Linked DNA regions of Pelodiscus sinensis. The protein of the gene in region 2 purifies or fractionates together with the protein of the main gene of each other region. This does not show direct contact. Links are inferred from orthologs where the notes say so. Each region holds a gene or a part of one and is shown on either strand. Other genes may lie near its edges. The genes, in order: SETD1A and BOD1L1.

Region 1 (7,548 bases), on a different chromosome or scaffold from region 2:
TTCCCCCCCCCCACCTCACAGGACCCCACCAACGTGCCTCAACCTATCCCAGAAAATCAAAATCAGATCAGTAAGAGACAGGTATGAAATCGTACCTGTGATGGATGATGTGTTTTGCACTCTTGACAGCGATAAAAGACGACGTGTATCTGTAAATGCAGTATGCTTCTTTTTGACGCAACAGAGCAGATGCTTAGTCCATAACGCAGAGTGGGACCTCAAAGAACTGGGAAGCAAGCAAAGAAAATAGGGGTTAAGTGTCACAGGAATAAAGGGTTAAAGGGGAGGGGGTTATGGTGTGTATTACACAGAATGCATCCAGAACATACAAAGGGTGGTACCCTACCCTGTAAGAGGACAAACATGTTGGGTCCTATCCCCAGGTCTGGAAGGGGAGTGGGGTATAGTGGATTAGAGCAGGAAGGGATGGGAGACAGGGATCCCTAGCTCCTGTATGATATTAGAGTTTCCAACCAACTTGTCTACCAGCAAAAATAAATTAAAAAATTAAGGACTCAAAAGACAAAGTAAACTCAAATTACTAATTATTTCACAATCTGGCACCGGAGACCTATTCTAAGCCTCCTAAGACAAATATTGAGATGGGAAGGTTCAGAAATAAGACAAGGTAGCAGAGAGCAAAGGAGCTGTTCAGAGGTGCGCAGATACTAGGGTGATGGGCTGCAGCACGAAACCCTAGAACAAGCCTCCAAGAGAAAGCTCGGGTGCTGCTCTGAATTTTGGAAAGCAGCCATTCCCTGACAGAAGGGAGTTATGATCTAAGACTGGAAGCTGGAATGCAGAGCAATATGGGCCCTGGTACAGCCAAAGGATGTTTATAATAGCTCCTCCCCACACTTCTGAACCCCTCCCCTCAGAACCCCCCAAAGACCTCCTCGAGCTGCCTTCCCCACCCACCTGGGGGGCCCTTTGATGAGACAGTTCACTCTCCTATGGCCCCTTTAACCCAAAAATCTAACCTAGCCAGCTCCATTATCATCCCCACTTCAGATGCAAGGAAATGGAGGCCTAGAACAGCAAAAAGGCAAAGCTATGTAGCTGATCAGTGGCAGAGTCGGAAAAAGAACCCACAAGTCCTGGCTCCCAAGCCCCAGGTTTAACGGACCACACCCCATTCACCTCCCAGAACCAGGGCAGATCTCAGGAGCTGTGACTCCAAGCCCCCCACACCTACCACCTCACTAGGGCCTGCAGCTCTCCCTACAGGACACCACATCCCATGTCTTTGGTGACGCTGTCCCACCCTGAGCACCGAAAAGCTTCCTTCTGCTGGTGCAAGCCCTTCCCCAACTCAGCACCCCAGGCCCCTTGATGCCCTCCATCCAAATCTTATGCCCCCCATCCCAATTCTCCCATCTTAGTGTCCCCCACACACCTCTCTGGTCCTCTCCCAACAACCCCCATTGTGGGCTTCAGCACCCCACCCCCTGCCAATACTCTCCTCAGCTCCCTCAGATCTTCACCACTCAGGACCCCTCTCTGGACCCTCACCCACTTCACCTCCTACACATTCCCCATCGCAGACTCCCAACTCCCCATCCCCTCAGGTCCCTATACCCCACTTCAAGGCCTCAGCTCCTCCCCACACTTCTGAAACCCTCCCCTCAGAACCTCCCCCCGGGGGCCTTTCCCCCAACTCCCCTGCTCCCACCTCAGAGCCTGCGCTCTCTAGAAGATATCCAGTCCTCTCAGAGACCTCAGCCCCACACCCGTAGAGCCCCTCTTCTGAGCCCCCCCATAACCAGAGCCCCCCGAGACCTCAGCCCCCCAGAGCTCACTCCCAGAGCCCCTATGCTGAGCCCCCACATAACCAGAGCCCCCTCAGAGACCTCAGCCCCCCCACCCACAGAGCCCCCTCCATGCCCAGAACCCCACCAAGACCTCAGTCTCCCCACTCCCAGAGCCCCCCGTGACCTCAGCCCCCCACCTGCAGAGCCCCTCTTCTGAACCTCCCCTACCCCCAGGGCCCCCCCCCAGACCTCAGCCCCCCACCTCCGTACTCCCAGGGCCCCCCCGAGACCTCAGCCCACCACCCTTAGAGCCCCCCCAGAGACCTCAGCCCCCCACCTCCCTACCCCCAGGGACCTCAGCCCCCCACCCCCCCGCCCCCAGGGCCCCCCCCAGAGATCTGAGCCCCCCACCCCCCTACTCCCAGGGCCCCCCCAGAGACCTCAGCCCCCTACTCCCAGGGCCCCCCCCCAGAGACCTCAGCCCCCTACCCCCAGGGCCCCCCCAGAGATCTGAGCCCCCCCCTACCCCCAGGCCCCCCCCAGAGACCTCAGCCCCCCACCCCCCTACTCCCAGGGCCCCCCCAGAGACCTCAGCCCCCTACCCCCAGGGCCCCCCCAGAGATCTGAGCCCCCCACCCCCCCTACTCCCAGGGCCCCCCCAGAGACCTCAGCCCCCCACCCCCTACCCCCAGGGCCCCCCCAGAGACCTCAGCCCCCCACCCCCCACCCCCAGGGCCCCCCCAGAGACCTCAGCCCCCCACCCCCCACCCCCAGGGCCCCCCCAGAGACCTCAGCCCCCCACCCCCCTACTCCCAGGCCCCCCCCAGGGACCTCAGCCCCCCACCCCCTACCCCCAGGGCCCCCCCCAGAGATCTGAGCCCCCCACCCCCCAGGGCCCCCCCAGCATCCTCCCCCGCCCCCCTCGTAACCGTCCCCGCGCGCGCCGCTGCCCCTCACCCGCGGCCCCGCCCCCTCCGCCTCGCGCCCCCTTCCCCGCGCGCGCCGCCGCCGCTCTCACCTCCCTGCTCCCGGCCCCTCCCCCCCCCGCGCGCGCGGCCTCTTCGCTCGGCGACCAGGGGGGGCCCGCTACTGCCGCCGCCGCAGACAGGGAGAGGGGGCGGGGCCAACGGCCGACGTCCCGCCGGCTCGCGCGAGACTTCCCGCCGGCTGGCCCGCTCCACCCCCGCCTTCGCCGGCTCTGTGCGTTCGCGACCGCAGTTTCGACGCGGGAGATAATACCGATTTCCCTCCGCGGCAGGCGGGACCGCGCCGCCGCCGCCCTCCTCCCCCCCGCGCCCTCCCCCCGCGGCGCAGCCATTTCTTCTCTCTCGTCCCTCCAAGCGCGGGGGTCGTGTGACGAATCCGCCGAGCCCAAACCCCAGCTACCTGCGCCGCAGGGAGAGCCAGCCGCGCACTTTCGCCACAAACTGGCCTCGGGGGAAACCTGCTTCCCTCGCCCCTCGCCGCGGCGCGCAGAGCCACTGGGGGGAGCGTGACTCATCCTCACGCGCCCGGCTATTTTTGAAGGGCCCACTTGGAGATGGCGGGAGCGAATCTGCTCTTCTGAACTCGCAGCTAGTTCCTAGGGGCAAGGCACAACCTCGGCACTTTCGCCATGCGACGGCATGCATTTAAATACATTTAAATAATTAACAGCAATACTGCGTGACGCTGAAAGGAAGACAGCGATGGATCGTAACGAGGGGGGGGGATTAGATGTCCGAGGAACGAATCGGATTTGGCGAAATGGCAGCTAAGGGAGGGAGTGTTATTCGCCTGCAGCACTTTCGCCACGGGCATGCATTGCATTCCAGTCCCTCTCAATACTTCAGTACAGCGCTATAGAAAAGCCAACAGGAGACAGGTGACTCCTGAGCTGCCCTCACCGGCTCATACGACTTTTATGGAGCGGAGAATGAGAGAGGCAGGAATGGAATCTACTTTGGTGAATGTGTAGCTTGCTGCTAGAAAGGGAATAAACTTTTATTCGAGTCCGGCACTTTCGCCAGGGGTGGGGCTACATTTCAATATATTTTAATAATGTATTTCACAACTGTAGCAAAGCCAAGAAGAATCGTGAGACCAACTCTATAGTCTGTTGTTTTATAGTGCGGAAATAGATGGCTGAGAGATTATATCTACTTTGCTGAAATTTTATCTAGGACTTAAGGGTTAAATGTAATAGTGTATATGTGCACCCATCACTTTCGTTATGAGTGGGTAAATAAAATAGCCAGTAAGCTGACTAATGACCCTGTCCTCAAAAAAAACTAGCCTATTATCTGTGTAGATGGAAAGGTTCAAGTATTGAATCTGCTCTTGCGAAATCCCAGGTAATACCATAGCTATTGGAGAACGAGAAAAGGGTGTCAATTATTCATACCTTGCACTTTCACCATGAACTAGAAGAAAGTCAATTATATAATAACGACCTACAATGCAACGGAAGAATCAGTGGGAGACAAATGAACCCATGACTGTATATATTACTTAAAGGAAGTAATTCCCATTTACTGCATTGAATCTGCTTTGTCGAAAACTAGTTTCAGTGTCTAAGGGGAATCCTAGGAGATTGGTTTACCTACCGCACTTTTGCCATAAGGTGTAATAAATGACAATACATTAAAATAACTTCCTCCCTTTAGAGAGTCACGAGTAGGAGAGAAATCAGCCCTTTCATTAACATAATGTAATTAGTTTATTTTAAGTGTTATGGCGAATATGCTAGAGCCAAGTAGATATGGGGGATAAAGAAAAAACTGCTGTCTTATCCCCAGCAAGCACTTTCGTCAGAGGTTAGAAAAAAATCATTATCTAAGTTAAATAACATCAGAGAGCAGAAAATCAATCATTACTTCACCAATTTTTAAGGCCACGTGCAAATTGTGTGGAATCTACGAAATAATCACCTGACTTTTTTCATAAGGAAGGCAATAAAAAGCGAGTGACTCATCTTCTGCACTTTCATTGTGGAAATGTCAATAAATGGAAATATATCTAGGGAAGTAATAAACCATCCAGATGTGGTGGGATATATCCAAAATCTCATGAAAAGCCAAATTAAATGCTAATTCATCAAGCCTGTTTTTTTTTCATTTACTTGACAGAAGAGAGGGATGTGTATGTCGAATCTGCTACTGCCATTCCATAGGCCCAATTACAACCTCCTGAAGGCTGTGTCTACACTGGGCCACTTATTCCGGAAAATCAGCCGCTTTTCCGGAATAAGCTGCGAGCTGTCTACACTGGCCCTTGAATTTCCGGAAAAGCAACGACGCTCTACTGTACAAAATCAGCCGCTATTCCAGAAAAACTATTCTGCTCCCGCTCGGGTATAAGTCCTTATTCCGGAACACTGTTCCGGAAAAGGGCCAGTGTAGACAGCCCAGTAGTCTTTTCCGGAAAAAAGCCCCGATCGCGAAAATGACGCTCGGGGTTCTTTTCTGGAAAAGCGCGTCTACATTGGCCACAGACGCTTTTCCAGAAAAAGGGCTTTTCCGGAAAAGCAGCCTGCCAATGTAGACGCTCCTTTTCCGGAAATGCTTAAAACAGAATAGTATTCCGTTTTAAGCATTTCCGGAAATTCATGCCAGTGTAGACACAGCCCTTGGGTATATATAGTGCCATCTGGGACCAATTTGCATCCTGTGACCTATTTTTTGATAGCTTTCACAAGTGTTGAATCTATTGATTTCACTTCACAGACAGAAGGGCTGTGTCTAGACTGGCATGATTTTGTGGAAATACTTTTAACAGAAAAGTTTTTCCGTTAAAAGTATTACCGCAAAAGCGTGTCTAGATTGGCACGGATGCTTTGGCCAGTCTAGACGTGATTTTGCGCAAGAAAGCCCCGATCACCATTTTAGCCATCGGGGCTTTTTTGCGCAAAACGGTTCTTCCCTGTTTACACTGGCCCTCTCGAGCAAGTATTCTTGCGCAAGAGGGCTTTTTCCCGAGTGGGAGCGTGAAAGTATTTGGGCAAGAAGCACTGATTTTGTACATTACAAAGTCAGTGTTCTTGCACAAATTCAAGCGGCCAGTGTAGACAGCTGGCAAGTTTTTGCGCAAAATCTTGCCAGTCTAGATGCCCCCAAGGAGTCAACACAGAGTTGAGTGCAAGCAGATACAAGGTGCCCCCAAGTCTTTCTTGACGCCCACTAGCCCTGAAAACCAGCAAGCCACAGTTTGGGTCCTGCCCATTGTTGGGGTCACTGGGCATGATCCTAGGTAACTCGGGGGAGTGGAAGATCACAAGGATCGATGAAGCCCCCCCGCTCTAGGCCCAAGCACCCCTCTTCCCCCACCTTCCGCCCCTTCCCGCCCCAGGCATAACTTTTCTTTGGCTCGCTAATAGCTGGGAACAGCAAGACAGACAGACCTTGAGGTTGCCTAGTTACTATCAGTGGTACAGAAGAAGAATTCAGATGTGTCTCTGTAGAGGGGAGGAGAAGCAACATGTCCCAGCGTGGGAACCTTGCTACAATTCACTATTTTCCTGCAAGTAAACAACCTGGGAGTATAAGGAGGGGAAACTGCTTCCGTTGGTGTGCTTGATCTGAGATGTCTAGTCTCCTGGCACCTATTTGAGCGTTCAAATAAACTTTTTTTGCTTCTCCACACCGGTGTGTTTATTGGAGCACGCACACCGGGCACTGAACCCAGCTGTTGCCCCCCTCGGGCACTGTGTGCTGGCAACACCATCTTTATTGAGAGGATGGGGTATTACACCCATTGTACCCAAGATCTACCACCAACAAGCACATTAACATTGCATGGGGGACATTAACACTGCGGGGGAGGCACTGGTTCTGTGGGGACAATATGCAGATCACATCTGCAGATGTCTCCTCTCTCCAGCAGATTCAAGTAGATGCTTGCAGTGGGAGATGGATGAGTCTCATTGTCACATAAAAGCGTGTGGAGCATAGATGAAGAATTAACAAGAGCAACCTTCCTAACCCCTCACCCCCAGCCACTGACCCACGTGTACCTATAAAGGCCACTTCATGGTCTTAGTCCCTTACTAACCTCCCTATTTAACTCTTCTCCCCAGTAGTCGGCAGGTGTTAAAGTTCATTATGTGAAATATCCAACATGGTTTCAACTGAAGGCTGGGACAGGCCTGATTCACATCTCAGGGGACTCCTAAGAGGCAGGCAAAGGATGGTTTATTCCAAGGCTAAAATGACATGAATTACAAAATACACTAGGGGCTTGTGTACGCAAAGTAAAGAAGAAAAAACGTGGCACAAACACATTGGGGTGTTGTTCATATGGTTAAGACAGGGCACAGAATTAGGATAGTTGGTTTCTATGCCCAGCTTAGCCACAGCCTCCCTCTGGGACTTTGGGCCAATCGCTGAATCTCTCTGGGCCTCGGTTTCCTCTTCTGAAGCAGGAAGAATGATCCTGTCTTTGTCTGCGTAGGACACGAGCGGTCTGGGAGAGGGATCGTCTCTGCCGTACACCAGGGATCCCGCTCTCCGTCCAGGCCGGCAGGAAACAAGGAGCGACCATAAAGAAGAGATGAAGTAGGAGTCACTGAGCAACGCTGATTCTATTTTGCTTGGTGTAGGTCACCTCTTTGCTCACCTGGTGTAATTAACTCAATTCCCCACCAGAGGGCAGCGGTTACCCCGCTATTTCAGACCTAACTTCAAACTCTGCCTACAAACTTCTCTGCCTTTTGGGGTTACCTCTGTCCCTGAGCCAGCTAGTTCCCAGCCAGAGGGCAGGCCAGGAGCCGGCGCTCCGCGGGATGGGCGGGTGAGGGGAGGCCCCATGCCCGTTCCTCACT
Region 2 (7,605 bases):
ATGCAATTTAAGATATGAAATTAACCTATCTGGAGTTAAGTATCAGAGGGGTAGCCGTGTTAGTCTGGATCTTCAAAAGTGACAAGGAGGCCTCAGCTTCTACCCACCTTCCTTGCTAAGGACTGGCCACTGGACAGGTGATTGCCTATCAGCTTTGATGACATCTGGGTAGGGGCACTAGCTTGTCCTTTGTCTTTCAGAAACTGATTTACCCAAGCTTGTCTGGTAAATACATTTCAGATCTAATTGGGCTTATGTTCATAACTTTACGTGCAATGTTGCTATGCATATTTCACCATGATAATATTTTCCAGCAAGTTTTTAGTTTTCAAATGCTACATCATAAGGCATGTTTATACTAGTATTATTACAATGGTGTGTAAGGTGTGAATATAAGGATACATTCAATCACAATTCTATACAATTAAGCCACAGGAATATTGTATGTAAAACCCTGAATTCAGTTACTGTATTGTTATTTCTTTATGTCTCTTTCCATTTCAGAGCAGACCATACAGTTTCTATAGTAAACAAAGATTTAATGTATACAAAAACCACAAAATGGCATACAGCATTGTAAGCAGTATCTGAAATATTGATGAAGACACTTTAAACAAAAGCTGTTAGGTAGGACAGTGACCTTTGTTTCTTATCCAGACTTTCCTTCCACTGTCACTTTTACACACCAAGTTCTCAAAAAATAATTTGTACTTCTCTGCTGTGGCTGAGTGAATATACTTCTGATCTTATTCCAGAAACATTTTAAAGCCTTTTCGTCACTGCTAAAACAGAAGGGCTTTGTCTTCCCTGCGCATTTAGTTCAGAATAGCTCGTGCACCGTAATTACCCCATGTTATAAAAGCAAAACAAAAACTCACCTTTTGTAGCACTGTGGGAAAGGCCTAAGGACTAGATTTAAAAAAGGAGTGAAACATTCCAACGATCAGTGTCACAATCCCTAGCTTTTAGGCATCAAGTAAGGGGACGCCGTTATTTTAAAATAATTTTACTAGCGTGTACACAGCCAAACTGCTATTTCAAAATTAATTTGAAATAGTGGAGCACTTATTTAGAATTTGGTAAACCTCATTCCACGAGGAATAACACCAAATTCTAAATAGCTATTTCGAAATAAGTGCTGTGTAGAAACTTATATCGAAATATGGGGCCTCTGGCCTTCCCAAGGTGCCTTGGTGGCCACTCTAGCCTCAACCAAGAACACTCCTCCCCTGGAGCCCTTAAAAGGGTTGACTCTGGCCACAGTGCCTGTGCCAGCTCCAAGCCTGCCAGCCCAGAACCAGCAGTCACTGCTCCTGACGCAGTAGTCCCAAAACATGAGCCCGCAAGCCACTGGCAACCAGCCCTCCACCGCTCCTCAGGAGCAGTCTGCCAGTTCCCAGGAGCCTGCCAGGGCACGGAGAAGGCGGGCGCATTCCTGATCCAGGGTGGAGATCATGGACCTTATTCAGGTTTGGGGGGATGCTCCCAACGTCCATGATCTCCGCACTAGATGGAGGAACGCGGCCGTCTATGGCAAGATAGCTGCCAGCCTGGCCACCAAACGCCACATGCAAACCCAGGAGCAGGTTTGCATGAAAATCAAGTTGGTCCGGTGAGACCCCCAACCCTGAGTCCTGAGCTACCCCTCCCCCTTCTTCCCCTTGCTTCCCCCTTCCAGATTCCTCCTCCCCTCTCGTGCCTCCTTTCCCCAGTCTCACCAGAGTTTCATTCCCCCACCTCCCACCCCCAGTTTTTTAAATAAAGAGAGTTTGTGTTCATGAAAATACATGTATTTTATTTGACATCAGGAAGGGGGGTTAGGGAGGGTTAAGTGGAAGGATGTGAGGGAGGAATGAGGCACAAGCCACCAGTGGGGCAGACCAGGGAGGCTCTTAGTGGCTCCTCAGGGTGGAAGCTCTCTCACATGGCCTCCTGAATGCTGACAGCCCCCCGATGGACCTCCTGGATGACAGCCTGCAGAAAGTGCAGCCAGGCTCACAGCAATGCATCCAAGAGAAGCACCAGAGTGCCCAGGGGGAGCTCTGGCTCCATGGCGCCGAGTGCTGTAGTGTCCCAAGTGAGGGCAACCAGAGCACGCAGAGACAAAATGCTTTGCTGTCCCTCATTGAGGCTGGCAAGCAAGCAGGGAAAGCTGAGAACCAGCTCCCCAGACCGGGGGTGGGGGGGAGGGCTTTAAGCACAGGTCTCGGATAGCCTCAGGAAGCAGCCACACAAAGTAACTCCTGACCTGATGTCCTGCTGGACCTCGTTCCGGTCGGCTTTAAATGCGATTCAGTGTGCACTCAGTGTGGATGTGCTATTTCAAAATAGCAAGACACTATTGTGAAATGCATTTTGTGAGTAGACGCGTTATTTTGAAATAACTTATTTCGAATTAACTATTTCGAAATAAGATATTTCCAAATAATGCTGTAGTGAAGACATACCCTAAGTCACAGGAATACCACTGTGATTCTCAAATCCCGAGTTAGGTGCCTAAGAATGGATGGCAGGAAGGGGTGGCTATGCCTCCCTAAACAGCCAGGTGTGGCCACACCTGCACTAAGCCCCACAGCATCCACTTTGGGTGTGCTGCTGGGCTCCAGTGGCTAGGGGCATGCTGCCCACCCTTTTGGGGTGGGGGACTGTATTTTCTCACACTTCATTTGCATAATCTCTTCCGATGCTTTTTGCGCAAGACATTTTTGTGGAAAAACTAGATGTGTATATGGATCCATTTTGCACAAAACCTTTTGCACAAGATCCTTATGCCTCAGAAAAGGATATCTTGCGCAAAAGGGGGTTTTGTACAAAACGGATCCGTCTACACAGCTAATTTTTGCGCAAAAACCTCTTGCGCAAAAAGCATTGGAAGAGATTATGCAAATGAAGTGCAAGAAAATGCTAATGAGCGCTTCATTTGCATTGCTTCTTCTGCAAAAAAAAAAAAACCCTAGTGTAGACATACCCTTAAGGCTGGAATAGTTAAGCTAATGGAAGAGCTTTCTCCTTCCATCCGCCCTACAGCAATTACATTAAAGAGTTTACAGGGGGGCAGTTCATTGCTACAGTTCCCAATGCTGTAAACTGTCTGTTGTACCCGTAGTCTGAGACACAAATCTTTCTTTTGGCAAAGGAGTAGTATGAGCCACACAATCAGCACCAGAGCTGTGAAGCAATGAATAATAATGATTCATTTAATATCTCAGTGATTAGTATCATCTCCGTCCTCAATACTAAGGAAACATGAGTTTTTACCCTGGGGTAATTACCATGCATTAGCTATTCTACTGTAAAAACATGGTAGAGACAAGACACTTTAGTTTCACCAGAAGACAAACTATGTGAGGTCAGCACCATGCCCTCCCTCCCGTGCAATCAATGCAAAGGAGAAACAGGATACCGTAATTCGTTTAAAAAAAGCAGTAAACTTGTCAAAATGAAGAACAACACTAACATGTATTATACTGAAATATTAAACATATACAAAATACTATGAAATTAAAATATGCATAAACAAGTTAGTAGAAATATCAAAATTTATGTATGCAACAAATTAAGTAATAAACAGTAAAGTATGCACTTCGATGTTTGCAGGATGGCAAATTACTTACAGAAATAAATGTTTAATGTTTTCATTTACAAAGGGAAGGGATAAAAGTCACATCTTACTTACTGGAAGTTCAAAAAAGCACTCAATATTAAAGAAATGTACTATTGTTTTACATATATGGATGCTTTGAAAGAGCTAACAGAAAAAGTATGAAGCTAGTACATCTGAAAGGCTCGACAAAAAAGAAAATTTAAGACTCTAAAATGTATTTATTTATTTTAACGTTATGACTTTGGGATGCATATCTCATGATTTTTGAATACCTCTATTATATCTATATTTAGAAACAATACAATAGAAATTTATTTTTTAGGATAGTCCCACTGCGCCAGATTTTTAAAAGTATTTAGCCGACTAGTAGGATTTTCAGAAGCATCATGACACTTTTAGCCTTTAAAAATCTGGCATGCAGTGATTTTTTGGGAACCAAATTTGACACACAAATAGTAATGGGATAAAAACAGGGTGCTGGATAAGAAAGCAAAACAATTGACCAACACGATCTTCATTGATTTATTAAAAGAAACTGCAATGTGACATCAACCCAGGAAATCAGCAGGTGTTGATAAGAATAAAGGTCCCAAAGAATAAAATGGTGTTTGACAAAAACTACTGGCACGATACGGACAGTGCTACCCCAGAAACACTGAGACGGGATGGCTGAAGCCTACTAGCAGCTATGAATATTTTTAAACTGATTAACTGCACCTAAAGTATGATCTGAAGGGCACAATGACATTCGTGTGCCTAGAGTGGACGACGAGCCGCCTGGCGCAGCACAGGGCCTGGGAGGCGGGAGCCAAGACGGACTGTCCTGCAGGGGAGAAGGGGGCAGCCCCTCAGCCTCATCCCCAGCGCCCAACCCCCGCCTGACTGTGCCCCTCAGCCCTGCCTCGGCTGCCTCCAGGCGCCCGGCCAGCCTGCACCATCCCGTCGGGCACTGCCCAGATCCTGCCCCCCTCGCTCCCCAGGGCTCCTGCGCGAGCAGCAATTGCCAAGCCAGGGCAGCGGCTTCAGCAGCTCTTACTGAGCACGCGCACGTCACAGGCGCATGCTCAGAACCGGCGCACAGCCCCGCCCCTTTCTCGTTCTCAAGCTCAGCCGGCTGGTAGAGGCGCTGCCGCCGCGCGCAGCAATGGGGCTGCGCCCGGGGAGCTGGGAAGGAGGGGCCGGAGCCGGAGCCGGAGGGCTCGGCTCAGATGTTCCCGCCCCGGGAGCGGGGTGAACAGCCAGTAGCAACGCCCATTCCTCTGTGCGAATCAGCCCTGCCCCTCTCCGCTCGTTGTCTCTCGCTTCCTCCCTCCGTTCCCTTTCACTTCCGGGGTCAGCGTTGCCGCGGTTGCTGCTCAGTAACCAGCCCCCTGCCCGGGGCCCGGCTAGAGGAGCCGGTTGCCGCCCGCGCTCTCTGAAGACCCCGCTGCCCCCATGGCCAGTAACCCGCAGCCCCAGCCCCCTCCGCCGCCGCCCCCTCCGCCGCCCCCACAGCAGCAGCCGCCGCTGCCTGGGGCTGCCGGCGGGGGCGGCGCGGTGGAGCCCGAGCTGGTGTCCGTGATCGTTAATCACCTGAAGAGCCAGGGGCTGTTCGACCAGTTCCGCCGCGACTGCCTGGCCGACGTGGACACCAAGGTATGGGCGGGGGCAGGTCTGAGGAGGGGGCGAGCGCCACGGGGGCCCGGAGCTCGGGGGAGGGGAGGAGGGCTGTCTGCCGAGACGCGCAGCCGCTCCTGCCTGGTGAGCGTTGCCCGGGGTGGAGGCAGGGCTGCCCTGGACACGGAGCCGGCGGGTCCTCGCAGCCTTGCAGAGACTCCTGGCTGGCTCTAGCGTCCTGGGAATGTCGTTCCCCGGGGATACGTCGCAGCAGCAGCTCAGCGCGTTGCCCCTCGCACTAGACCGCTGGCAGGGTCCTTAGCAGCAGGTTCCTGCCTAAGGAATGAGCTCTCAGGGATCAGTGAGTGACTTCAGCAAGATCGGGCCGTCTGTGTAAAAGGGACTGGTCGCTCCCGTTTATGTAGGTTATACTGTATAAACTTTTTCCCAAGAGGGTAATAGAATTCTTTTCGGTAAATAGGTTTTGGTATATGGGCATTGCCTATCAGAGGATGGCAATCCTGATATTTTTATTGATTCGGCAGTTAAGATCTAGGGAGCTTTTTAAAGTTTTTCAGCCCTCTCATTAGGAAAATGAGTTTTAAGCAGCTTTTTTAAATATCTGATCTCACCTTTTGCCCCTTTAGCCTGCTTATCAAAACCTGAGACAACGCGTTGACAACTTTGTTTCCAATCATCTGGCAACTCATACTTGGAGTCCTCATCTCAACAAGAATCAGTTGAGAAATAATATTAGGCAGCAGGTTCTCAAGTAAGTCATAAGTTGAGTTAATATTCTGCCGTTTAAATAGATACTCGTGCTCTAGTGATAGGTGAATGGAAACCTAGTGTTAGTCTGAATCTGCGTAAATAACAAGAAGTCCTGTGGCACCTTATAGACTAACTGATATATTGGAGCATAAGTTTCTGAGGGCAAAGACCCACCTTGTCAGATGCACCTGATGAAGTGGGTCTTTGCCCACGAAAGCTTAGCTAGACAAAGAAATTCCACAACTTCTATGAAGAGAGAATGTTACCTTTGTTACCATTGTATCCGGATATAAATGCTCGTCACTCTTGTGATATGTTGTAATACAGTGTTGAATGTTTCCTGTTTTGCATCACAACTTTGAAGGAGTCTCGCTTTGTTGGAATATTGGGTCTGCAGTCTTTGCATACAAGGATTCTGGCACTACCACTAACTCATAAGTGGTTTATTCAACAAATTACTAGTTGTTGTTCGGTTTTCTGGGTTAAATCTTGTGTTATTAATAGGATTGTAGATATGAAAATTCATGTATGTTGCAAGCACAAGTTAGTTATTCAGAGTCATATTCACAAAACAGAAATCCTTGAACAGACTTGATTTCTATGGACAGCTAAAAAGTTTTGTAAAGACTGCTGGTAAATGGTCATCTTGAAATATCTTTGAATAAGCATTTATGGTGAATCTAATTTGTGCCATAAACACATTTACATTAATATCCTCTGCCTAGTGTTGCACATTACCCTAATATGAGAAGCCGCCTAATGTTACTCCAAACTAATTTGTATAGATAAAGGTTGCCATCCTGTCAATTTTAGGGACAGATCTGAAACTTGGGAGCAAATGCCACCTGTTGCATGGTTAGTGATAGGTATCAACACTTGAGTATAGAGGAAATACAATTATTTTGTAGTTAAGACTTGATAACACCATAAATGGAGAAATGGTCTCAAGTGAAATGTAGCCATAGGCAACTCATTCTGTTTTCTAGAGCGTGATGGACAAAAGGTAGGCTATTAGGTAGCTAACTGGTTCAATGCTGAAGCTATTACATAAAGTAAATTAAGAATCTGAACTCCACTGTTTAGTAGTTGCAACATGATGCCATTCTGAGAAATTCTAACATTGGGGTTATGAAGACAATAGATATAGTGCTGTCACATTTCTTGCTACCTGTTCTGCATAGAATGCTTTCCTCAAACTGATTCATAAAGATAACTACAAAGGGGATCTGCAAGTTTATGCTGAAAGAGAATAAAAACAAATCCATTTGCTGCAGGCTTTTTGTCAGGCATGAAATGTTTATTCAGATGTGTGTTAATGGGACATTTTGAGCACTATCTAGATCCACGGTATCCAACAATCTAGCTACTAGCCACATGTGGCTATTTGGCCGTTTGAGTGTGGCTAGTTCACTATAGCAGTAGCCATTACAGTGGCAACTGCTTCAGAACTGGTTGGACACCATGGACCTAGACACAAGTCAGGTAGGAGTGTTCCTGAAGCAAATGCAAACAATTACTTTCTAGGAACTTAGAAAGTTTATGGAAAGTTGTCTGTGTGGAGGGAAAACACTTTTTAGATAAACCAGATCTGTTTGTGGAAATACATTTCCTTATATGTAAGTATTAGTGTGTGG

Evidence for each region.
Region 1: the proteins of BOD1L1 (region 2) and SETD1A purify together in Homo sapiens (affinity purification with mass spectrometry; 3 studies listed by BioGRID and IntAct, with this or other methods). This does not show direct contact. The link is inferred for Pelodiscus sinensis from reciprocal best matches to the Homo sapiens genes BOD1L1 and SETD1A.

What each region holds. Positions count from the first base shown.
Region 1 is NC_134714.1:134,014,212-134,021,759, forward strand, and holds the start of SETD1A (histone-lysine N-methyltransferase SETD1A), read right to left. Parts: upstream 3,159-7,548; 5' UTR 3,138-3,158; intron 2,919-3,137; exon of another isoform or gene 2,770-2,918; intron 1,695-2,769; exon of another isoform or gene 1,673-1,694; intron 1,348-1,672; exon of another isoform or gene 1,196-1,347; intron 227-1,195; 5' UTR 96-226; intron 1-95. UniProt on the Homo sapiens protein: Histone methyltransferase that catalyzes methyl group transfer from S-adenosyl-L-methionine to the epsilon-amino group of 'Lys-4' of histone H3 (H3K4) via a non-processive mechanism.
Region 2 is NC_134715.1:108,496,853-108,504,457, forward strand, and holds the start of BOD1L1 (biorientation of chromosomes in cell division protein 1-like 1), read left to right. Parts: upstream 1-4,543; 5' UTR 4,544-5,038; coding exon 5,039-5,239; intron 5,240-5,847; coding exon 5,848-5,972; intron 5,973-7,605. UniProt on the Homo sapiens protein: Component of the fork protection machinery required to protect stalled/damaged replication forks from uncontrolled DNA2-dependent resection.